Linked DNA regions of Danio rerio. The protein of the gene in region 6 interacts with the protein of the main gene of each other region in a pairwise test. Links are inferred from orthologs where the notes say so. Each region holds a gene or a part of one and is shown on either strand. Other genes may lie near its edges. The genes, in order: smarca2, ppp1r37, psmf1, eaf2, nkapd1, bend7 and eaf1.

Region 1 (3,500 bases), on a different chromosome or scaffold from region 6:
CAATGTTGTTTTTTGTACATTAAATGTTTTTAACAAAATCTCATACATATTGCACTTAAAAATCTTAAAGGGCACCTTATATATATATATATATATATATTTTTTTTTTTACTTATTGTTGAAAATGTTTCAACTAAGTTTCCATGAAAATCCGCCATACAGTCTTACAGTTATAACTGTCCCTTTGAGGGCAGCCTAATGCTAAAATGGCCCTCAGTGAAAATTAGTTTGACACCCTTGTTTTAGAATTATGCATTCTAATGTTATAGTTCTTGGTGGCCTTTACAGTATTTCACGATATCTGTGAAAATGCGTCAACACAGTATGTGAAAAAGGCAGTGACTATGTGTTGATTTCTGTGTGCAGTGAACCAAAGCAGACAGATGCTAAATGTCACTGAATGCTCTTTTCACTATCAGCTAATAATAAAATACATACACACAGACACAGACACAGACACAGACACACACACACACACACACACACACACACACACACACACACACACACACACACACACACACACACACACACACACACACACACACAAGAGACAAAGTGGATACACTTACTTTCTCAGGTAACTGAGACTCCACCTCTTTCTTCAGTCTGCGCAATAAGAAGGGACGCAACACCTTATGCAAACGACGAATGATGAGGATGGTCTCCTCTTCATTCAGATCCACCTAACAAACATCAGCGCAACCCCATAACCAAGAAAAAAAGTCATTAAAATACAGTGTAAGACGTAAAATAGACATCTCTAAATCTCTAAAGATTCAAATATGACAGTTTACCCTTTCTCCTGTCATTGCAAAAGGAGCATTGAACCACTGCTCAAAGGTGCTGCAGCTTTTGAAGATAGTGGGTAAGAGGAAGTTGAGCAGGGCCCAGAGCTCAGGTAATTTGTTCTGCAGGGGAGTACCAGTGAGCAACAGCCTCCTGGGAGCAACGTAGTGGGTGTTCAACACCTGTGTGAGCTTGCAGTGATGGTTCTTCATACGGTGACCCTCGTCCACAATCATATACTTCCAGCGAATCTGAAAATGACAGTTCGGCAGTCACAAACTGGATTAGAAGATCAACTCACAGGTATTGCAAAAGCAGACGCGTCACATTCAGCTTAAAAAAAGCAGTCCAAAGGATGTAATTTAATCACCAAAAGAAATGACTATGAGATGGAATAAAGTGTCATAAATGACTTTGAGAAAAAAGAGAAAGCACAATGCATATAATTATAACTCTCCATATGAGGCATATAGACTTCATTTAAGCCACAGAAAGCTTGCTAAAAAGATCTTCCAGCAAATTCCCCAACCTAGAATGACGTTAACAATGATATGGGAGAAATTGTTAGTTAATGTGAGAGGTGATCTGTGGTCATTCATTCATTTCCTTCAATTTAGTCCCTTTATTCATCCGGGTCGCCACATCAGAATGAACCATCAACTTATCCAGAATACTGAATGTTTTACACAGAGGATGCCCTTACAGCAGCAACCCAGTGCAGGGAAACACCCATACACTAACGCCTGTTTCACACCGCAAGCGTCAGCGGCGCGTGAGCAGAGCGTGAGCAGCGAGTATGTCGAGCAGTAGCAGCACGCAGGCGTTTGCCTTTCACACCAGCTGCGTCTGCAGCGCGCAGCTCTTCGGCAGCTGCTGCAGAGATCAACCTATCTCTGTCTATTCTATCTAGTTACCTATGTCTCTCTATATACAAATACACTTTTCAAACTTTTCATCTGCACCAAGGCCCCTCCTATGCTGTTTCTTTAACCGGCAAATGTTTATTTTACAAATTCTATAGATCAAATAGTGCTGTATGCTTCTCAATCTAACTTATATAAGAAGCGTCTACAGTCAGAAGACAATCGCCTGTGATATCATGTCATTTGTTTTTTATTATCAGGTTGCTGTAGACCTAGTTATAATAATATTTATACAATATAGTTATAATGATATTTATACATGATCAAACTAGTGTTACTTTCTCCGCTTCAGTGATGTCCAGCGGCAGAAAAACAGCTCGTTAATTCATGCTCGTGCAGAGGATGAGACGGACGAAAGTAACCAATGCATGCCATTCTTTTACTTATTTTCGTGTTGTCAGATTCAGAGTGCAAAAAGCTCCCGGTAGGAATAACTCGAGTAAACATAAAACAAAGCCGATAAAAACTTTCTTGCTCTGCTCAGCTGCACAGAACACAGCGAGCTCACATCATCCAGCATGCGTGTCGAACTACACTACCCACAATACACTTCGCTATGGACTACAATTCCCGTAAATATTCTATTTCCCCTCTCCTACAACACTAGTGTGCAACTTAAGCAAAACTGATACTAAAATTGTTTTACATTTGGTTTTGTAGTTCGGGCCTAAATAAATGTTTGTTGCCGTTTTTAATCGTTTTAAGTTCATTTGAATGACTATATATAAACCATTGGACATTATTAACGCATTTATTGGGTAAAATTGCTACTTTTTACTGTCATTCAATGTGTTTTGGTCATTATCAAAGCACTGTCACTTTAATTGAGCGTGAGCAGCGCGTCAAAAATAGACCCAGCGCCGAAACTATCGCTGCACTGCTGCTTCGGCGACGCTCACGCCTCGCTCTGACGCGCTGCTGCTGCGTGCGGTGTGAAAGCTCTAAGCTGTTAACATGGACGCCGAAAACACACGCGCTGCTCACGCTCTGCTCACGCGCCGCTGACGCTTGCGGTGTGAAACAGGCGTAACATTAAAGCACATACACTACGGACCATTTAGTTAATTCAATTCACCTATAGCGCATGTCTTTGGACTGTGGGGAAAACGGGAGCACACAGTGAGAACATGCAAACGCCACACAGAAATGACAACTAAGCAAGCTGGGACTCAAACCAGCAACCTTCTTGCTGTGAGGTGACAGTGCAAACCACTGCGCCACCGTGTTGCTGCAATCTGTGATGCAGTAGGATTTGGAATAATGTCTTGAGCTTGGTGCTTGGGAGAAAAGCCTGAGAGGCATCATTAGGTGTTTACACAAGAAAAATGATGTTTAAATTTTACAGATCTTAGTTCTTAACTCTTTTCTGGTATGCAAACCTCTTTACTAGATTAGTGGTTTCTCTAAACTTCCAGAGAATGAATCAACTGATGAAATGTACCCTACTGCCGGTAGGGATGGGTACCGAAACTCGGTATTTTATCAGTCTTGGTGCTAAATTATAAAAGACCGAAGAATCAATAAGCTCTGATGTTAACGGTTCTGCTATCAGTACTGGAGAATTATTGCTGAATAAACATTATTTACAGCAAAGAGCTTAGAATGACCAAGAGGCGACACTCTGGTGTAATTTGGGAAACAGCCACTAGAGGGCGGGGCGGCCATTTTGGAATGAAAACACCAATAGAACACCATGCATATTATAAGTCTGTAAAATAAACTATTAAAAGTGCCGATGTTCGTGATAATACGTGTTGTATTGTCGTCTTTCAGGTTGTATCTCAACTT
Region 2 (3,500 bases), about 42 Mb from region 6:
ATGTATTTATTTATTTATTTATTTTATTTTTTTATTTTAAAAAGATTTGGCAGCCCTTTTTTACAATTTTTTTTTTATAATTACTTTTCCTTTAATTTTTTTTATTTTTTATTTATTTATTTATTTTTATAGTTTTTTAGGCAGTGTATTTAGGGTTTGTTAAAATGGGTTTATATGTATAAAAAATTATAATTTTATAATTAATATTTTATTTGTTGTGTGTGTGTGTGTTTGTGTGTGTTTGTTTGTGTGCGTGCATGCGGGTGTGTGTGTGTGTGTGTGTGTGTGTGTGTGTGTGTGTGTTTGTGTGTGTTTGTGTGTTTGTGTGTGTGTGTGTGTGTGTGTGTGTGTGTGTGTGTGTGTGTGTGTGTGTGTGTGTGTGTGTGTGTGTGTGTGTGTGTGTGTGTAACAGGAGCGGTGGCCATCGCAGAGTTCATCGCTGAGAGTCCAAGGCTGCTCCGGCTGGACATGCGAGAAAACGAGATCAAGACCGGAGGCCTCATGGCTCTCTCTCTAGCATTTAAAGTCAACACGTCTTTACTGAGACTCGACCTGGACCGAGAGCCCAAGAAGGAGACGGTGAGAGCTGGGAGAATCTCATATACAGCAGGACTGAGCTAATACAGACAGGCAACTTTAACATATTACATGAACCATTGGTTTTAAATTATGCAAAAATCACTTTTGTAAGGGGTTGAAACAGTTGTGTGAATTTAAACATCCTCTAATGGTAAAAGTGAATCATTTATAAATAGGTGGCGCTGCTCCAGAAGTTTTTGAGTACTTTCAGGGCATGGGGTTGAAGATGCATACCATGTTTTGTAATGATATGTGAATATGTTGTTAAAATATAGCATTTTTGGCCAAAAATCGAAATGGGCGATGCCCAAAATGGCTGACCTGTGAAAATTCGACATGCTCTGCCGGATGTAATGAGACCAGTTTTATGAGTTTCGGACGAAAGGTTGAGACGTTATAAACCAAAAAAGCTATTTTTTTCCTATCTCCGGACCACTAGGGGGCAGTTCGCCGAAACTCTGCATATAACCTCAGACCCTAGTTGTCATAACACACACCAAGTTTGGTGTGAATCAGTGAATGCGTTACGGAGATATCGCCTCAAATCCATTTTCGCAAGTTCTACGTTACATTTGATTGCAAGTTAAACGAAAACATGTGGTCTAATCAACTTGAATTCCATAAATTTGGGTTGGCATGGTCTGTAGATCATGTGTTTAAATTTTGGTGAAAATCGGAGACACGGCCTAGGACGAATTCAATCAAATAGGTTTTTCGAAAAATTTTAAAAAGTGCGAAAAAATTCATGACAGAAAATGACGTCGTAGGATGCGTTTGTATCGGACTGAGCCAAGGAATCAGAGGAAAAAATAGAATTTTGATTGTAGCCCATTCGGTTCAAAAGTTATCATGATAAATACACGTGAAAGTTTGGACCAGTGGTGGCGCTAGAGAGTTTGATGTTGAGACTTCATATTTGGTCTGATTAATGTTAAGACTGTCCTCTATCCTTGTGCCAAATTATACAACTTTCCCGCATATGCCTATATGGGCTGCCATTCAAATCCGGCGGAAGAAACGGAAGAAGAATAATAATAATAGGAACGCTAACGAAAGCAATAGTTGCCTACACACCTACGGCGCTTGGCCCCTAATTAGACTTGATTAAAACAGTCTGCTGGTTGGCATTCTCCCTTTGTACGTGTCATCAGAGGGGGAAAGCCCCGCCCACTAGTGACCATCTCTCCCTCATTAGCATAGGATGATAGTCTTGTTTTTGAATCTGCCACTATGCTGACACACAGGCATCAGAAGCACCTCTCTTTTTTTACTGCACACCACTGGTGATGTGTATTGATATACAGCTGAAGGCAAAACTATTAGCCGCCTGTGGAAATCTTTTTCTTTAAAAAAATAAAAGCAGTTTACATTTTTTACAGGTAATTATATATACGAGTGTTCAGCAGGTGTGTGACATTGACACTGTTTATTGCATCCCCGCACTGCATCTGTGTTTCCAGGTGAAGAGTTTCATTGAGACACAGCGCGCCCTGCTGGCCGACATCCAGAACGGCTGCAAGAGGAACTTCATATTGGCCAGAGAGAAGGAAGAAACCGAGCAGAAGATGAGACTCTCGGCTTCAATGGCAGAAATCGCCACTGAGGACCAAACCCACGAAGAAGAAGAAGAAGAAGAAGCATCCCCTTTGAAGAAAATCGAAGAAGAAACCACAGACGCTCCGAAAGATGCAACCCAGGAGAGCAGTGAAGTGTCTGAAAACCAAGAGCCCAAAGATCAGGAATCAACACCGCAGGATGATTCAGATTCAGACACTGAAGATGAAGAAACGCCAACAAACACTTCATTAACATCCACATCTCCAATACCCATTCCAGCTGCAGCAGACACCAGTAAAACCATCCCCTCCACTCCTCCTATAGCATCTCCAGCCGTCATTTCAGGAATTACAGTAACAGAAGCCAGCATTGTCACACCGTCATCTCCTGGACGATGTATTTCAGTGTCCAGTCCAGGAAGAGGACACAAAATCTTCATGGTAACCCGTGTGGAAAGCCCTCCCGAGCAGCAGCAGACGAGTATCGCAATGCTCAAAAGCATCCAGCCGTCAGCAATAACTGATATAAAAGCACCTTCGCAGACGCAGAATTCAACACAACCCACAGAGAAATCGCATGCAGAAAAGACACCAGATGCACAGCAGGAGGATTCAGTATCCACAAGCACACCGAGTCTGGATGCTAATATTGACCAGACTCAGTTGACAGAGAGTGTCAGTGAGGAGGAGCAGAAGAAAGCAGAAACACTAAACAATGAAGCTGATATAAATGAAGACGCAAACACAGGAGCGCCGCTGCCCAACGGTCTGAAGCCAGAGTTTGCCTTGTTTGAGTTTGAGGGAGCCAAACCAGCCAGCTGTATCATGGAGCACGGTGAGTTCACGCTGCATTCACCTGACGATAAGCTTTCAACACATTGTCATGTTTACTCCTGGGAGAACTTTTTCTAGAGGAGCTGTCGACATGAAGTTGAAGCAGATTTTGGTAAAAACCCAAACAATACACACATGAAAATAAAACTAAACAAATCTGAAAAATTAGTTATGTGTCATAATTAAATAACAGAAACTACTGAAACATATTTAATAGGGGTGTCACGATTTCGATTTTAAATTTATGCTTAATTTCGATTATCAAATCAAAAAATAGAATCGTCGATGCTGCCACGCCCCCATGTCACGTCAGCTTGGCTTGCCAAGCGGGAAAAAAACACGCTTGTTGAACTGCTGAAGCAGGAGACAAAGCTTAAACCCTCTCCTTTTTCAATGAAGTCACCGGTGTGGAAGCATTTTGGATTTCCAGTGAGTTACGTTGACAACCTTCGTGTTTTCGAAAAAAAACAAACACAGTTTTGCAAGCTCTGCTATGTACGTATTAGGGTTCGTCCGATTGACAACACCGGC
Region 3 (3,500 bases), on a different chromosome or scaffold from region 6:
TCCGCTGTGGCGATCCCTGTTTAATGAAGGGACTAATCCGAAAAGAAAATGAATGAATGTGCCATATACTGTCTCACATCATGAATCATAGAACGGTAGAAAGTATCTGAAGAAATATACTGAAAAAAACTCAAACTTAGAACGAGAATCATTTGATGACTCTAACATTCTCGAGTCATTTTGAACCTTTATACATTGCCAAAAATATTTTATTTTCACAAACGTATGAAAGTAAAGACTTGCATTTATATTTCCCATGAAGTCCTTTGAAATGTAAGTTTTTTTAATTCGATGTTTGATCTCAACTGAAACATGAAGACAGGGCAGGGGTCCATTCTTCGTACGTGGATTACTCAGTTAGCTGGATTTGGATATTGACGATTTGACAACATCCAGGATCGTTTCGTTCTTTAAAGCTGATCCAAGAGTTGTTGTCAAAGCAACAGTTCTGCTAGGTCAAACCTGATCGGGGGCAGGTTCAATTCATATAAACAGGATTAGAACCGGCTCAGTTCAAGCAAAGATAATAAAGTATGTTCCGAATTCTGATATTTTCTTACAGTAGTAGTTGTATACACTTGGGAAAATGGTAAATATTTTAACTATATATATATATATATATTATATATATAAGTTATAGTTATTAATAAAATAAATATAGTTATATATATTAATAAAACTTATGCAATCTGCACCCTCAAAATGAAAGTTCAAAGACTGCCCCCTGGTGGTGTGAAGTGAAAACTTATTGATTAAACTTTTTAGATCGCTTTAGTACAATGGAGTTTTTTTTAAAGCAGTAATACATTAATGCAGTCATAAACATGTTTTGATAGTTATGCCAGTGATTTGATGCTTCACAAAAGTTGCAGACGCCTTTACCAATGTCAAAATGCTTTTGTAAACATCCAGTTATTCTTTACACCGATTAAAAAAACGGCTACTATAATAAAGAAAATCTTTTCTAAATGTAGAACTAAATACATTGATTTGCATTGAAATACATGAAGAATACTCTTGACACATGAAAGTGTAAAGCCTGCAGCTCACAACAAATGTGGAAGGTTATTGCGTTTCATATTCAACAAGCCATTTACTGCTAATTTGATGTAATTTTGCTCACATGGATAATTAAATATTAATCAGATGATGTCATTACCATGCTGTGCCGTCAGCCAATCGTTGCATTGCTGATCATGATTTCGAGGATCGATAGATCTGTCCTTCACAACACACACAGCGATCTCAGATCAGTTCATCCAGACATTCTAATCTGATTCGCGAACATGTTTGAAGAACCAAATTAGCGAGAGATCAGTTATCGAGATGAAAAGATCCAGGATCTGCCAAATCATCTTAGATCATTTAAACGAGATACGAAGAACGGACCCCAGGACACAGAGTAGCTCCTTCCCTTTTTTAAAAAAAACAGCCTATAACGTTAAATTTTTATTAAAGCTCTGCCAGTGATCGAGCTCAAGTGCATCAAATGAAAAGCAAATGAGAAGTGTTTTTAAGGGTGCGGGACTTTTTAGATATTAGAAAGCATTTGATTGGTCAGAAGATTTAATGAGAAACTGAAATATGAGGGGATGTCAAAAATAATTGTTGATCCAGTTAGTCAGAAGTGTCAAACTGCATGATGCAAATTTTGTCACAGTGGAGCACACTAGCTTATAAATAACCCTGAACACTATCATACTAATACCAACATCTTAAAACTTTAAATTCAAAGTACCTTTAAAATGCTTTACAATCACTTTTGTCAATTTAATATGATTTAAGGTATTCATTCACACACTCTGTGTTTTTCTTTCAGCGTGTTTAAGAACACAGATGAGTTGACTGCGAAACTGAAGTCCTCGCTGCTGCCTTCCAAAAAAGAGGAGCGTCAAGGAAAGACAGAGAAGAAGACAGAAAGAGAACGAGCATCCAACTTAAGGGACCCAGACAGTGATCCTCTCCTGATCCCAACCAGAGGCCCTCCAGCCAGACACCCTGCAAACTGGTGAAGTTCTCTATTTTCTTATACAAATTGTGCATTGATTATTATTATTTTTATTTTTTTTGCAGTGTCACCTTTTAAATGGGTCCTAATTAACTTCCACGGCATCATGCTTTAGTTTTAGTGTCCATTTACCTCAAGCATGAAAACAATAAATATAAATATGTGTCCACATAGAACAGTGTTTCTCAACCACGTTTCTGGAGGACCACCAACACTGCATGTTTTGGATGTCTCCTTTGTCTGTCACACCCATTACTGCTTTTTCAGTGTCTGCTAATTAGCTGATGATCAGGTGTGTTTGGTTAAAGAGACATGAGCTGGGTCCAAAATCACATACTTCCATACTATATAGTATACTAAAAACAGCATGCGAGCCAAGTAGTATGCCAGAATTCATAGAGTTTGAAAAACAGTATGCGAGAAGTGCTCAGATGACTTACTACTTCCGGGGAGATTCTGAAGTGCGCATCCTATGCATGCTGCGCCAGGGCCGGAGTGGGACTCCTTTTCAGCCCTGGAGTTTCAAGCCTCAGACCGGCCCACCTCAGTTCACGACTGACTATATTAAAATAAGGTCATTTCCAAATCAGTTTCTAATGACACCATCACGTCTTTTTTTGAGAAAACAGCTGCTTTAGAACTTCAAATGTTCAACAACCCTAACAGTATTATATGTCTTAACAATAAAAATGAAAACAATAAGTTACTCAATCGAGGATCGAACCCGGGTCCGCAGCGTCTTAATCTAACGTGCTAACCGCTGGACCAAATTAGCTGTGTTGAGAGAGGAGACAAAACTAAATTAGATGAAAAGAGAACAGTTGCGGTAGAATAATGAATAGAAAGGCTGTGGTCAAGTAAATAAATAAATGTAAAAAGTGTGACTGCTGAGAGCAACAGATTCTGCAGCTAGGGACACCGGCCCTCGCGGCCAAAAAACGGACCGGCCCACCGGGAATTCTCCCGGTCCTCCCAATTAGCCAATCCGGGCCTGTGCTGCGCTATCCCATGATGCAAGAGAATTCATTAATAGGAGTAAAGCGTGACAAGATGGCGGATGTAGTACGTCCGAGTTCCATTCATACTACTCCCATTCATACTGTATAGAACAGGGGTGGCCAATCCTGTTCCTGGAGATCTACCTTCCTGCAGATTTCAGTTGCAACCCTTATCAAACACACCTGTCTGTAATTATTAAGTGGATTTCAGGTTCTAATTAATTGGTTCAGGTGGGTTTAATCAGGGTAGGAGCTAAACTATACAGGAAGGTAGATCTCCAGGAACAGGATCAAGCACCCCTGGTATAGAACATACTTTTCTAATGGTCGAGTAGTAAATTTAAATTCAAATGTAGTACCCACTGAGTAGTAGGCGATGTCAGACACAGCCACAGAAAATGTGCAGAGCTGGTGGTCCTCCAGGAACGCTGTTGAGAAACACATAGATGAACGATAATGATGTTTATTTTCAGATTATGCTTTAAATTGGGCAT
Region 4 (4,049 bases), on a different chromosome or scaffold from region 6:
CCATCCATCCATCCATTCATCATCTATCTATTCATCCATCCATCAAACTTTTTTTTTTTTTTTTTTTTTTTTTTTTAGAGAAAATGAGTATAAAAAATGCACTTTTATGATTTATTAATTTTTTTTTTTTATGGTTGTCTCCTTCAATATTTCAAGACCAGGAAAAAATATAAAGTTGTGTTATAACCTTGTAATACCTCTACAGCAACATTAAGAACTGTACTTACTAGGTTCAGATGGTTTTGAGGGACAAAATTGAAAAAGATTTAATAATCCAGGACTATTACACTAAATCGATCACAACCATCATAATTATTGTTAAATGAGGAAACACTTTAACTGTCATTTCATTGTATTATGTTTATATCTCCACAATTTGCATTAGATTTCTTTTAGAATAACTAAATCACAGTCATTTGAGACCACAGGCTTGCAGTATAATCAGGGTTTCTTCCAATCATTCCATATCCGTTTCCAAAAAAAAAAAAAAAAAAAAACGGAAAACGGATGTTTTTTGGTTTTTCTTTTGCTCACAAAAACCTACATTTTGGCTGGATTTTCATTTTTTATTTTAGGGGAGGAAAACGGATCAATGACTTTAAAATTCATTAAACACATGTAAGCAGTGCTGAAAGCCCTTTTTCCTCTGATTGGCTAACCAAGTCTAAGCTCATGACGTCGCCCTCAAAATAATAGTCCTCTGAGGATCTGCACCCAGGCTTTTTATCATTATTATTTATTTTATATATAAACTAAGTTTAAATATCCTAGTATTTAATCAGTTAGCAGGCTTACATTCATTGCGTATGCATAAGTTAAATAAAAACATAAATTAGCAGTATAGTTACACATGTCATTAAAAGAAGGCAATAGTTCGTAGCAAAACGTCTTGCTGCTGTGCGCCTGATGCCGAGTAAAGATAGCCTTTTCTGAGCATAACCTAGTTTGCATTATTGTTTCAGAGCTACTGTAGGCCTAAATAATAATAATAATAATAATAATAATAATAATAGTAGTAGGCTTATAATAAATATTATTGTTTACTTTGTGTTTTTTTATTGTCTAGTTTTTTAAATAATTGTTAGCAGGACCAGAACAAGAACACATTGGGCCCTAGGGCTATAACAAAAGATACCATTAGTTTTTTTTACATTTTTATTTCCTCTTATTTTAAATATATATATATATATATATATATATATATATATATATATATATAGGACTATTGTTTTGAAGACAACGTGATGAGCTCAGATTTCATTCGTCAGATGAAAAAGGGCGTTTCAACATCGCCTACATGTGTATAATGAATTTAAAAGTAGTATCCATTTTCCTACAATAAACCCCAAAAAAAAAAAAAAAAAAAAAAAAGAGCCAAAAGTTTTCCCTTTTTTTCAAACGGTTTAAAAACAGATATGGAATGGACGGAAGATACCATGAATCAATATAATATGTGGATCAGTTATGGATGTGAAACTGATGATTTGTTGCAGGAATCTTTTTTTTTTTTTTTTAATTTGGACCAGACATGTTACCTCGCTCAATATCATCCATAGGAGATGATGGAGACATCTTTTCTTTGGGAGGAGAGCTCTTGGTGCTGGATGGAGCCTTGCTTCCGCTACCCGTCTTCATCTGCTGGCTGAGTCTGCTGGTTTGTTGCTCCAGCCGTGACTGAATCTTACTGCTTCCCTCAGCCCTGGACAGAAAAGAGAATTTGACAATTTATTTACTTCACATACAATTCAAAGGATTAGAAGGAAGCATCATATTTATATGACTTGAAACTCAAAAGTGTTTTTACCTGGTCTTCTTGACCGCAATGTTGTTGCTGAGTTTCTCCAGACGATACTCTCCTGTGTCATGGTTAACAATCAGAATACACTCCTTCATATAAGGCCTTTTAGAGCCTTTAAATACAGTAACTGGTGCTGTGGATCCCTGAAAGGGTTGATTGGAGAGAAAAAGACTCAAGAATCATTCATTTTACGTACACTTCAGAATGTAAGGTTATGAAACCTACTTCCAAGTTCGGTAATGTGATTGTAACTTGCTCTCCTTTTCCCACTTCCAGCTCCCCCTCACATGTAGTGTCTATGGAGGCTGGTTTGAAATCATCTGTGTCCAGGAAGAACATATTTCTTGATATTCAGGTGTGCTATTATTACTGACACGTACAGTACACAGTAAAACAAACATCGTAGTATCATTGCAGAACCTACAGAGGGCGCGTGTTTCCCATGAAAGATCATTATTCTTCATGAATTAAATGGCTCTCAAAATTTCATTAAAACGACAAGTTTTCGACTAACAAAAAAGGCTGTTTATTTATAATAGTTTTCGTTGTGAGCACAAAGACAGGATGCTTTTTTAAATGATCCCCAAACAACATACAAAGCCGAGTTTAAGCCAGCAAGGTGGAAAAGCACATAGCTGCCTCCTGATATGCCTGTGCGTTTTCTTTGAAAACAATATATGGTTTCGGTGTTAACTTAAAAAACACCTCGTTTTCTTTTTCAAAATATGACTCACATTATCGTGTTTATATGATCATTTTGAAATACCGCTAGCAATATAAAAGATGCAACTTACATCGTACCGTGTGGAATGCACTTTTAGGTTGTTTCTCAAAAGTTTCGCCTAGTTTGAGGACGTGTTCTTGACTGTCAAAGTTTGAATATGCTGTTCCATTCATTCTAATCCAAATTTTCAACCATATATTAGCGATTTTCAACTTTCTGCTTGGTTTGATACCATCTAAGGCAGAAATAGACGCCTCACTTCTGGACCCGTTGCTCACGCTTGCTACGTTGGGATTGGCTGTGTTACTGCACTTGGTCACGCCTCATTTCGTTCACTTCTTGTCTGTAATTGGTTTAGAAGACAATCAGTCGACGCTGACGTAACGTTTGACGGAAGTGCCCATCTTTTCCCTTACACGCGTTTACACGACTGCACTGGTGCCCTCTAGTGTTCCCTAAGAATGCTTATTTGTATTTGTGCAGTTAACGATGACAAGTAAAAAAGTCTTGTCAGTTAAGAAAAAATAAAAATGACATGTTGAAACGTAGTTTGGGTCTAAAATAAATATTTTAAGGTATGTTCCAAACGGGTAATTTCATTAGCACAGACAATAAAATCATAATTCCTCATAAAATATTAAATTATATTAATAGATTATATGCCTTGCTGTGTTGGAATCGTTTTCTCTTTTCCCCCAAATATGTTTTGTTTCTTTAATAAAATCGTGCAGTTTGTTTGCATTGACGCAGAGAGAGTAACGTTATATGGGGTCTTCTGCTATCTAGAGGTCGCCGATTCATTTACGAGCAGCGCGTGTGTGGAGGAGAGAGACCGTCGACATGTCAACTCTACTAAAACAAATATCTAATGTAAGTATGATCATACACTACACTGTCATTTCTCCTGTATCTTTATATTAATGAGTCGGTTGTAAAAGTGACACGTTCATTAACGAAGCGGAGGCTAAATAAATGAATTGTCCCGTTCACTTCATATTTTGAGCGAGGGTTAACCAGCTTTCTGTCAGCTTAAGTATTTGTTATTTTCAGTTTAATGTTCACGGAATACCGTATACTAGGTTATCTTCAGTGTCATTCATCTTAAACGTAAAACTATTTCCATGAAGTCCACTGTTTCTGAAAACCTCAATAGAGATGGAGATTGGTTCAGCGGGAGCATGTGATGTAGGGAATTAGCAGGTTGCTGGGTGACTGTCTGTAAAACAAAGAAAAACATCCTTTGAGATCTAATATGATGGGGTGAAAATGAAGTCTGACACTACTTGTCATTAGATTAGATTAGAGATTCTGTATTTTATGCTGATCTGATGCTGAGTTTTAGATTCCATCTGTAAATGCTTGTAGCTTTATATATAATTGCATTTGAAAAAAGTGTGTGACCATGAATCAAGTAATGATGTAGAATCAATGAAAACATTTCCATTTCTGCACAAATTATAGGTCACACATGACATTTATTATGATTTATTTTACAGCTCTTACATATTTATTTACCAGCTTCAGAAA
Region 5 (2,163 bases), on a different chromosome or scaffold from region 6:
TTGTTACAGAATTTTTATTATTCACCAAATATATATATATATATATATATATATATATATATATATATATATATATATATATATATTAAAATTTAAAAAAGCAGTCATGTTTTAATCATTACTCAGTACATATATACAATGCTGTACAACTATAATGATTTTTGTAATGGCTCTTAAAAGTTACCATAATAGCAAAACATGTAAATACAAAGGTTAAAGGTCCCTGTTTTCATTTTTAGTAAATTAAATAAATAATTTTAAATAGATTACATAGAATACAGTGTGCAGCATGATTGAGTACACCCCTTTTTGAATATTAATATTTTTTTCCATTTCTCAGTGAATATAGGCAATGTATTTTGGTGCATTTAAACAAAACAGATTTATTGAACAGATATATTTATTAAAATAATATTTTAGTCACCACACATATTTAGAAATTAAAAGATAATGCAATTAAATTCATGCAAAATATTGAAAAAAATCTTTATACATTTTACAATTTTATACTAAATTTTATACATTTTTTGTTTCTCTTGATTTTTGCTATTTTTAAAAGTGTTTTTAAATGTTTTTCCCTGACATAAATTTGGGCTACAAATTTTTAAACTATTATAGTGAGTAATTTTGTTAGATAAGCTCCAAATTTGGCTTCAGTACTGACTAAACTAATGTATATGCACAAATATAATATTAGATAGATAGATAGATAGATAGATAGATAGATAGATAGATAGATAGATAGATAGATAGATAGATAGATAGATAGATAGATAGAACTAAAATATTTTAATTTGGTTTGTTTAACTCTATATTATTCATTTTTTTCCAGAGAGAAAGCTTGCAGTGATAGTAAACATAGAAAGAAAAAACACAAGAACAAACTGAACGCTGACTTGGAGAAATCTTCCAAGAAGTCATCTAAGAAGAAGAAAAGGAAGAAAGAGAAGAAGAAAAGGAAGACGGCGGCGCCTGGCTCAGAGACCTGCAGTGATGCAGAGGAGACCGTGAGGAGGAAACAGAGGAGAAAGGGGAGTAAAAGCAAACATAAGAAAAAAGAGCACAAAAACAAAGACAGAACTGAGGACAGCAGCACAGAGGACAGCCGTTCAGACACAAAGCCAAAAACCCACAGGAAAAGAGAGTGTCCTGAAACAGACACACTGACTGAGCCTCAAAGGAAAAAGAGGAAAAACTGGAAAGTAGCGAACGAGGAGAGATCAGAGGAGAGCTCTGATGCTTGACCTTTCAGCTCAACTACACTCTGCTTTTAAAAATGTGCATCATGTTCATTTTGCGGAGACTCTTGCTCATTCATCTGGAGTCAGTAGATCAGTGTTTATCCCTCATTGATGGCTTTTTTCCACCATGTTGGCATCCAGGAGAACTTGTCTGATTTTATGAGGTTATTTTCAATTTTTTTAACCATTTTCTTATTATGCTTGTTGTCAGACTGAAACATTTTAAATATAATAGAAAACTCAGGGAATTCTGTAACGTGTCTGATTTTTATAAATATTCTTGTATTCATGTCATACTTTCATACTCAAACCTGCCAGTCACAATAATACAGTGTAGTTTTGTTTTCCAAACAGCATTAGTGTTTGTTAAAGGGACAGTTCACAGAGAAACTTAAATTTGCTCTTAATTAAAAAAACGTTATGGAAAAGTTTTTGGTGATTCTGAAAATGCAAGTCTGCAGCTAGTAGCACTTTGAGAGTCATAAAAACATCCAAGCAAATTTATATTAATTCCCTTGGGTCCTGGTGATACATTGAGGTCTTAAGAAGCATAACACAACACTTACATTATTAAATTAAATTACTTTGCTTTCTATATGCTTGGTTTAATTTCAAATGAATCACTAAGGACAACGGTTTCAGCTAAACATTTTTTATTGTTATACTAAGGTAAATTAACAGCATATTTGCTTTTTGCCCTGGCAGAACTAATCCTTCCAGTTTCAGTACACTTGAATAGTCATCATACTACAGTTGCCCGTTAGGTGGCGCTGTTGCACTGCATCAGACCATCATCTCAAAGCGGCTAGCTTGTCTTTTAACGACCTGTTTTTACTCAGTCACTTGTAAACACCTACGGTAAATGCTATTATTTCTACTGTTTACTTCCATTTACTGATAATGGCTACTTCCCCTTGCTAAT
Region 6 (3,500 bases):
CCTGTGATACACAGCGCGACCCCTGAACATCTGCAGTACAACTGGAGCTCAGTCATGCCTCTCTCTCAAAGCCAGTACAGCACTCGATCCAAAACACAGAGGATGCTCAACCACTGCAAAACTAATGGTGAGTCTTAGAGACCAGAGGTGTGTCCAGACCTGTCCATTCCCAATTCAACACATGCAAATTGTTATTAGAGACTTTCAGAAAGATTTGCTGTAGCTGGTTGCTGTTAAATTCTCACTTTGGTCTTCCAGGACCAGGACCGGACACAGTAATAATGATAGCTCATAAATAATCCCTATTGTAGTTTAAGCATTTAGTATCATCATTTAGGAACTTATGAATATAATTATTTTATTTTTATGTACAGTTGAAGTCAGAATTATTAGCCCCCCTGAATTATTAACCCCGTTTATTTTTTACCCCATTTCTGTTTAACAGAGAGAAGATTTTTTCAACAAATTTCTACAAATAATAGATTTCGTAACTCATTTCGAATAACTGATTTATTTTGTCTTTGCCATGATGACAGTAAATCATATTTTACTAGAATTTTTCCAAGACACTTCTATACAGCTTAAAGAGACATTTAAAGGCTTAACTAGGCCGGTTAGGGTAATTAGGCAAGTTATTGTATAACGATGGTTTGTTCTGTAGACTATCAAAAAAAAAGTTAGCTTAAAGGGGCTAATAATTTTGTACTTAAAATGTATTTTAAAAAATTAAGAACTACTTTTATTCTAGCTGAAATAAAACAAAAAAGACTTTTTCCAGAAGAAAAAATATTATCAGACATACTGTGACATTTCCTTGCTCTGTTAAACATCATTTGGGAAATATTAAAAAAAAAAAAAAAAGAATTCAAAGAGGGGCTAATAATTATGACTTAAACTGTATATAATTTTTTATTATGTCATTTGTCACTATAATAGCTCATAAATCCTCACTTCCGTAGTTTAAGCATTTTGTAACTTATTATTATAATTCATTATTTTTTAATATGGCATTTATGGCATTTTGCTGATTTCATTTATTTACATATTTTGTAATTTAATTTCAGACTATTTTGTTGTTTTGGTGTTTATTTGTTTGTTTCTTTGATTATATTTATTTTTTAGTTTAGTTATTTTCAGTGTTTGTAATGTTCTCTGCCGTTTGTCAAGTTTATATTCTTAATATAAACTTGACAAATAACTACAATACAGAAAGAGTAAATATACTTTTTTAAGACAAGTTGTTAGGATTTTAGATGATAAGCAATCCACAAAAGGTTCAAGTACAAGGTCTATCATTAATTAAGTAATATACTAATGAAATAATAATTTATTCAATATTATAAATTATTCTAGAATTTTTTCTGGTCTATACATATTTAAAAATATGAAGTCTTATTTTAGTATTTATATTTGTAAGCCTTCTGTTCTTCAGACAAGTATTTTAATTACATTTGTATACATATTTAAATACATTCATTCATTCATTCATTTTTCTTTGGTCTAGTCCCTTTATTATCCCACTATGCTACATTGATGATTATTATTATTATTATAATGCATTATGTGGTATTATATCATTAATTCATGTTTAATTTTTTATATTGTTTTTAGTTATTTAATTAATTAGTGTGTATTATGTGTTTTTCTGTTTTTTTCTGTTGTTTATTTAATTTAAGTCTTTTTTTAGTCATTTTCAGTTGTAGTAATGTTTGCACTTCTACGAAAACTAAACCAAAATTGCAAATGTTGCCTTGGCAAATAACTAAAACCCTGAAAGAGTCCATTTTCAACCTAAATATTGCAATTTTTGGTTTATTACTCTATATTATTAAGTAATATAATAATGACAGAATGATTTATAAATTAGATAATATAAATGATTTATTATAGAATTTATTTGTGTTTATTCATGTTTAAAAATATGAACTCTTAATTTAGTAGTTTTATTTGTATGCCTTCTTTCATATATTGTATTTGGGTGTATTCTAAGTGGGTAGCAAGAAGGTTGCTGGTTCAAACGCCAACTGGAACAGTTGGCAGTTCTTTGTGGAGTTTGCATGTTTCCCCGTGTTAGTGTGGGTATCCTCCAGGTGCTCCGGTTTCCCCTACAAGTCCAAAGACATGCGCTTTAAGTGAATTGAATAAAACAAATTGTCTGTAGTGTATGTGTGTAATGCAAACGTGTATGTATGGGTGTTTCCCAGTGTTGGGTTGCGATTGGAAGGGCATCCGCTGCGTAAAACATATGCTGAAAAAGTTGGCGGTTCATTACGCTGTGGCGACCCCTGATTAATAAAGCATCTAAGCCAAAAAGAAAATGAATGAAAATAATGATATTTTAAATTTTACATTTTAAAAATTCTAAATATATATATATAGTTAATATTTAGAGTTTCTTTAAATGTTTTTCATCATTTAATTTTGTTGTGTGTTTTTTTTCTTTCAACTATTGGTACTCCAACTTAAACTACATAGAAATGACTGATTTATTTATTTTATCTCATGATTTTTAAGTCTTGCCTCTGCTAAAAACAGTAAGACATTACTTGAACCTTGCATTTTGTGACCACAGGCTGCAGGAAGATGCACTGTCTGACACATGTCTAGACAGCTCTGGATAACACAGCAAATGCGTAATGTCCTCCTTCAGTACACAATAAAAGACACAAAACCTCCCTCACAGTTAGCCTGAGCCACATACATACACACACACACACACACACACACACACCGGAGTCAGACGTGCTTGGAGCCGCCGGGTGTCAGACATCGCCACTGATGCTGCATATGTGTTTGTGATTCAGACATGGCCTTGCCCCCCGCGCCTGCTGCCATGGCAACAGAGCCCAGCTGCTGTATGTGCAACTGCAAGAGCACCCTGAAGGCCATTCTGCTGGAGCTGCGCACCATGAGGAAACTACTCCAAACTCACAGAGGTAAAACACACTCAATCATGTGCTCTCAGACTGACCCTTCAGGATCTTGCAGATTAAAGCAAATGTCACAAGATTTTGACCAGCCTTAAATGCATTATCCCAGTAGGATCATCAACGACATCAAAAAACAGGTTAAAAACCTTGCTGTCTATTTGGCATCCACACATTGATGCTCGTTTGACCACCAAAAAATGACACAAAGATTATCATAACAAGAATGTGAGTGAAAAATGACCCGTGGTATTCTATGCTGTGCTGTGCTCTCAGGGCTGCAGGACAAACAGGGCTCTCACGTCTCGCTTTCCTCGTCTCGAACCTCCATCTCCAGGAGGAGGAGCCGAAAGAGGAGGCTGGGTCACAGAGTGGCTCTTCTGGTCACGCCCACAAAGAGAGCCACGCCCCCCTCCCCTTCTGCGGATGCTGTGAATGAGTGTGATCAGTCCAGAGAGGACACGCCCTCCACTGTGGCTACATTTACACCAGACCACTTTCCCACTGTAAAGAAAACTTCCCCTCACTACAGCGTCAGCGGAGGACAAAACAACACTGAGGTGAATCTGAATG
Region 7 (3,500 bases), on a different chromosome or scaffold from region 6:
GATAATGTTCAGAATTGTACGCACGAACCCCACGTGGAAATTTTTCTAGTCTGTGTTTTAACCAATCAGGTTAGAACACCTATATGTATGCCGCAGTTAATGACGTTATGGGAGAGTATAATTGTTATTGATTGGTGATTGTAAGCAGAGCGGCCTAGGAACTTATTGCGAGTGTTGATGCTGGCTTCTGCGAATGAAACTGCAAACTATCTTCAGTAAACTTGATTTATTTATTTAAATATCTGACTCCGGCTCTTCTTCATCTACCAGACTGGTCATTCTTTGGGTTAAACTATCCCTACACTCCCAATATTCCATTGGAAATAACAAACTTATGAGCGCAAAAGTATAGATATGTGAACAGCATGTTTCATGGCAGCATCACAAAGAGGTCTATGATCTATGCATGACAAAAAAATCTGTAGACACATAGAAAAAAAATCTGTAGACACATAGAAAAGTACACGTGACTACTTCTGATATGTGCTCAAGCAGAACATTGGATCCTTACTTGAGTCTGACGACATGCACGCACACGCAATTTTTGGAGACAATTTGTTACACATTTACTACGAGATTTTTTGTGTGTGTCTGTTTTAGAGACATGTTACAGGTCTTTGATATAGATGTAATTGTTTTCCTTTGAAAATATGTTTTAGATTCATACTGTAAAACAGGGATCACCAAACTTATTCCTGGAGGGCTGGTGTTCTGCAGATTTTAGCTCCAACTCTAATCAAACACAAAACTATGGGACAGTTGCTAGGGTGTGGCTAGTAAGTTGAAAGGTCATAAGTGATTGGCAGATTGCTAGTGAGTTAAATGAGCACAACCTTAAGTCTGTAAGACAGTCTGGCGCAAAGTTATGAGATCACAAAGTTTGGTCCAATATTTAAAAGTTAATCAAGGGCTGTTTCTCAATTCCAAGAACGCAGAGAATGGACTTGCGTTCTTGTGGAGAGCGGTCTTGCCAGGTGTCTTCGGAAGAACGAACTCAGGAGACCGCGAGGGCAGAGAACGCGTCCTTTAAGAAATGGGATGCTGCGTTCTTCCTGATGGTCACATGACCTTCACGCGTTTTAAATGGAAATTATTTAAACATTACAACATTCATATAACGATTTATTGTTTTCCCCCTCTTCAAAATATATATTTTGCATAAAAACATTATAAATATACTCTGCACAATATAAATAAAACAGATTTTAATACGAATTTCAGCAAACAAACACCCTTAATGTGTTTATTCCTTTATTAAGATGTTCATGGTGATGTTTACTTTCACCATTTCATTTAGGGAAACTCCTGCGGTAAATAAGTGATATCTCTGAACATTAATAATAAATCTAAATAAAATGCTGCGCTTCCCACCTCCAGTCGCAATGACTTCTGGGACTTCCAGAGCGAGTTCGGTGCTCAAGTCTGTATCAGTGCGTCCTCGATATCAAGATCACATCCAGGAAGTTTCACGCGTCCTCCGTACTTGCGGTCTTGAGTATTGGAACTGAACTTTGGCAGCTGATAATGACGTTACACAAGAACACGAGGTTGCAAGGCCGCTGAAGAACCGATTGAGAAACAGCCAAGGTCTTAGTAGGTATACTTGAAACACCCAGGCAGGTGTGTTGAGGTGAAGTTGGAGCTAAACCCTGCAGGGCACCGGCCCTCCAGGAACTGGATTGGTGACCCCTGGTGTAAAACATCTGTGTGTGTCAAAATTGTTATTAAAATCAAAATCTTAATATTGTTCTAGAAAATCGTGTTTCTAAGGTTTGCCATATTACACATCCCTAATTTGTAGCTCTGCCCTCTTGTAAAAAGAGCACAATCTCATTTGAATTTAAAGCGACAGTCACCAAAGTGGCACAGTTGGGATCAAAACCTATTAATTATTGTTATATCCTATTTGCACAACATTCATAGTTATATTACACTGTATGCTTGTCTCGTGTGGGTAATATATATGTTTTCTTACGGAGTGTGTTCATCAGCTGGTTGTTGCCTTGTGATTTGTTCATTCCGTTGGCCATGTTGTTCCTGCTGGGCGAGAGATGTGTTTCCTGTTCTCCATCGCTGCAGGAACTGTCGTCATTCCCGCTGCCTGAACAACTGGCAGATTCTGAAGAGCTGCTGCTGCCACTGCTGCTCATCTGCTCGATCATGTCCACCTCGGCCCGCAGCTCTGACACACACAGATCAAAAACACTGGTTCAATTCAGCAGAGTCAGAGAAAAAGCTACATCAACACTGCAGACGCACAATATATGACCCTGGACCAAAAAAAACTGTCTTATACAGGGTATATGCCGAGCTGGTGTTGCTCCCATAATGATAAACGTCTGGTGACCTGTTATTGTGAGTTTTTTTTCCATTTTATATGTAATGTAATGTAATGAGTATTTTTATATAGCGCATCTTAATGTGTATGTCCGTACACCCAAAGCGCTTCACAATCATGAGGGGTGTCTCCACACCACCACCGGTGTGCAGCATCCACTTGGATGATGCGACGGCAGCCACAGGACAACGGCGCCAGTGCGCTCACCACACACCAGCTATTGGTGGAGTGGAGAGACAGTGATAGAGCCAATTCGGTGGAAGGGGATGATCGGGAGGCCATGATCGTAAGGGCCGATAGAGGGACTTTGGCCAGGACACCGGGGTTACACCCCTGCTCTTTCACGAGAAGTGCCATGGGATTTTTAATGACCACAGAGAGTCAGGACCTCGGTTTAACGTCTCATCCGAAAGACGGCGCCCACTGACAGTGTAGTGTCCCCTTCACTTTTACTGGGGCGTTAGGACTCAGGACACAGACCACAGGTTGAGCGCCCCCTGCTGGCCTCACTAACACCACTTCCAACAGCAATCTAGTGTTCCCTAGTGGTCTCCCATCCAGGTACTAACCAGGCTCAGCCCTGCTTTATATATGGTTCCTTTTACAGCATCAATGTTGTAATGTAATTCAATACATTCAGTTAAACAGACTTTGGTATTCACTTAGTTACTCAAGCGTAAAATGAGACAAAAACCTGTTTACTCGCACGTGACCAACAGAATCGGCAGGATAATGCAGAAGCTCCATTGAATATACTGGAGTAAAGTGAATGCTCTTTTTATAAAGACATGGCGGTGAAAATGTAATTTAATGCAGTGCTTCTTGTACAATCTCAGACACACTTTATATTGGATATCACTCAACCAATGGAGATCGCTGATTTTTAAAGAAAACAGACCATAAACGCATTTGATTTTGCTTTGGCATACAGTTCACCGGAAGCGGTTAACCCAGGTTACTGGCAAATTAAAAGTCCTATTGGCACGCTTCAGCATATACCCTATTGCTAGGCCCACACGGAATCTGCACGCGCAGAATTCCGCAGATTTCTGCAGATTTTTAGCCCATCATTAATTCAGTTTATTCACTTGAGTAAATGTGTAAATCTGAATTCATTCAGTTTTTATTCAGTAATGTATTACTTTTTATTTCATATATTAAG

The links.
Region 1: the proteins of bend7 (region 6) and smarca2 interact in binary tests that used the Homo sapiens proteins (3 or more experiments, as listed by UniProt). The two-hybrid records come from large-scale screens. The link is inferred for Danio rerio from reciprocal best matches to the Homo sapiens genes BEND7 and SMARCA2.
Region 2: the proteins of bend7 (region 6) and ppp1r37 interact in binary tests that used the Homo sapiens proteins (3 or more experiments, as listed by UniProt). The two-hybrid records come from large-scale screens. The link is inferred for Danio rerio from reciprocal best matches to the Homo sapiens genes BEND7 and PPP1R37.
Region 3: the proteins of bend7 (region 6) and psmf1 interact in a two-hybrid assay, tested with the Homo sapiens proteins (2 studies listed by BioGRID and IntAct). The two-hybrid records come from large-scale screens. The link is inferred for Danio rerio from reciprocal best matches to the Homo sapiens genes BEND7 and PSMF1.
Region 4: the proteins of bend7 (region 6) and eaf2 interact in binary tests that used the Homo sapiens proteins (3 or more experiments, as listed by UniProt). The two-hybrid records come from large-scale screens. The link is inferred for Danio rerio from reciprocal best matches to the Homo sapiens genes BEND7 and EAF2.
Region 5: the proteins of bend7 (region 6) and nkapd1 interact in binary tests that used the Homo sapiens proteins (3 or more experiments, as listed by UniProt). The two-hybrid records come from large-scale screens. The link is inferred for Danio rerio from reciprocal best matches to the Homo sapiens genes BEND7 and NKAPD1.
Region 7: the proteins of bend7 (region 6) and eaf1 interact in binary tests that used the Homo sapiens proteins (3 or more experiments, as listed by UniProt). The two-hybrid records come from large-scale screens. The link is inferred for Danio rerio from reciprocal best matches to the Homo sapiens genes BEND7 and EAF1.

What each region holds. Positions count from the first base shown.
Region 1 is NC_133180.1:46,069,891-46,073,390, reverse strand, and holds part of smarca2 (probable global transcription activator SNF2L2), read right to left. Parts: intron 1,041-3,500; coding exon 798-1,040; intron 687-797; coding exon 573-686; intron 1-572. UniProt on the Homo sapiens protein: ATPase involved in transcriptional activation and repression of select genes by chromatin remodeling (alteration of DNA-nucleosome topology).
Region 2 is NC_133193.1:52,033,762-52,037,261, forward strand, and holds part of ppp1r37 (protein phosphatase 1 regulatory subunit 37), read left to right. Parts: intron 1-412; coding exon 413-579; intron 580-2,039; coding exon 2,040-2,970; intron 2,971-3,500. UniProt on the Homo sapiens protein: Inhibits phosphatase activity of protein phosphatase 1 (PP1) complexes.
Region 3 is NC_133181.1:54,454,113-54,457,612, reverse strand, and holds part of psmf1 (proteasome inhibitor PI31 subunit), read left to right. Parts: intron 1-1,819; coding exon 1,820-2,008; intron 2,009-3,500. UniProt on the Homo sapiens protein: Plays an important role in control of proteasome function. Inhibits the hydrolysis of protein and peptide substrates by the 20S proteasome. Also inhibits the activation of the proteasome by the proteasome regulatory proteins PA700 and PA28.
Region 4 is NC_133184.1:24,619,797-24,623,845, reverse strand, and holds the start of eaf2 (ELL-associated factor 2), read right to left. Parts: upstream 2,801-4,049; 5' UTR 2,696-2,800; coding exon 2,593-2,695; intron 2,119-2,592; coding exon 2,024-2,118; intron 1,942-2,023; coding exon 1,805-1,941; intron 1,700-1,804; coding exon 1,536-1,699; intron 1-1,535. UniProt on the Homo sapiens protein: Acts as a transcriptional transactivator of TCEA1 elongation activity. Acts as a transcriptional transactivator of ELL and ELL2 elongation activities. Potent inducer of apoptosis in prostatic and non-prostatic cell lines.
Region 5 is NC_133190.1:24,179,335-24,181,497, forward strand, and holds the end of nkapd1 (uncharacterized protein NKAPD1), read left to right. Parts: intron 1-832; coding exon 833-1,244; 3' UTR 1,245-1,663; downstream 1,664-2,163.
Region 6 is NC_133193.1:9,572,772-9,576,271, reverse strand, and holds part of bend7 (BEN domain-containing protein 7), read left to right. Parts: coding exon 1-127; intron 128-2,804; coding exon 2,805-2,936; intron 2,937-3,203; coding exon 3,204-3,487; intron 3,488-3,500.
Region 7 is NC_133191.1:7,236,221-7,239,720, reverse strand, and holds part of eaf1 (ELL-associated factor 1), read right to left. Parts: exon of another isoform or gene 2,932-3,500; intron 2,380-2,931; exon of another isoform or gene 2,183-2,379; coding exon 1,976-2,182; intron 1-1,975. UniProt on the Homo sapiens protein: Acts as a transcriptional transactivator of ELL and ELL2 elongation activities.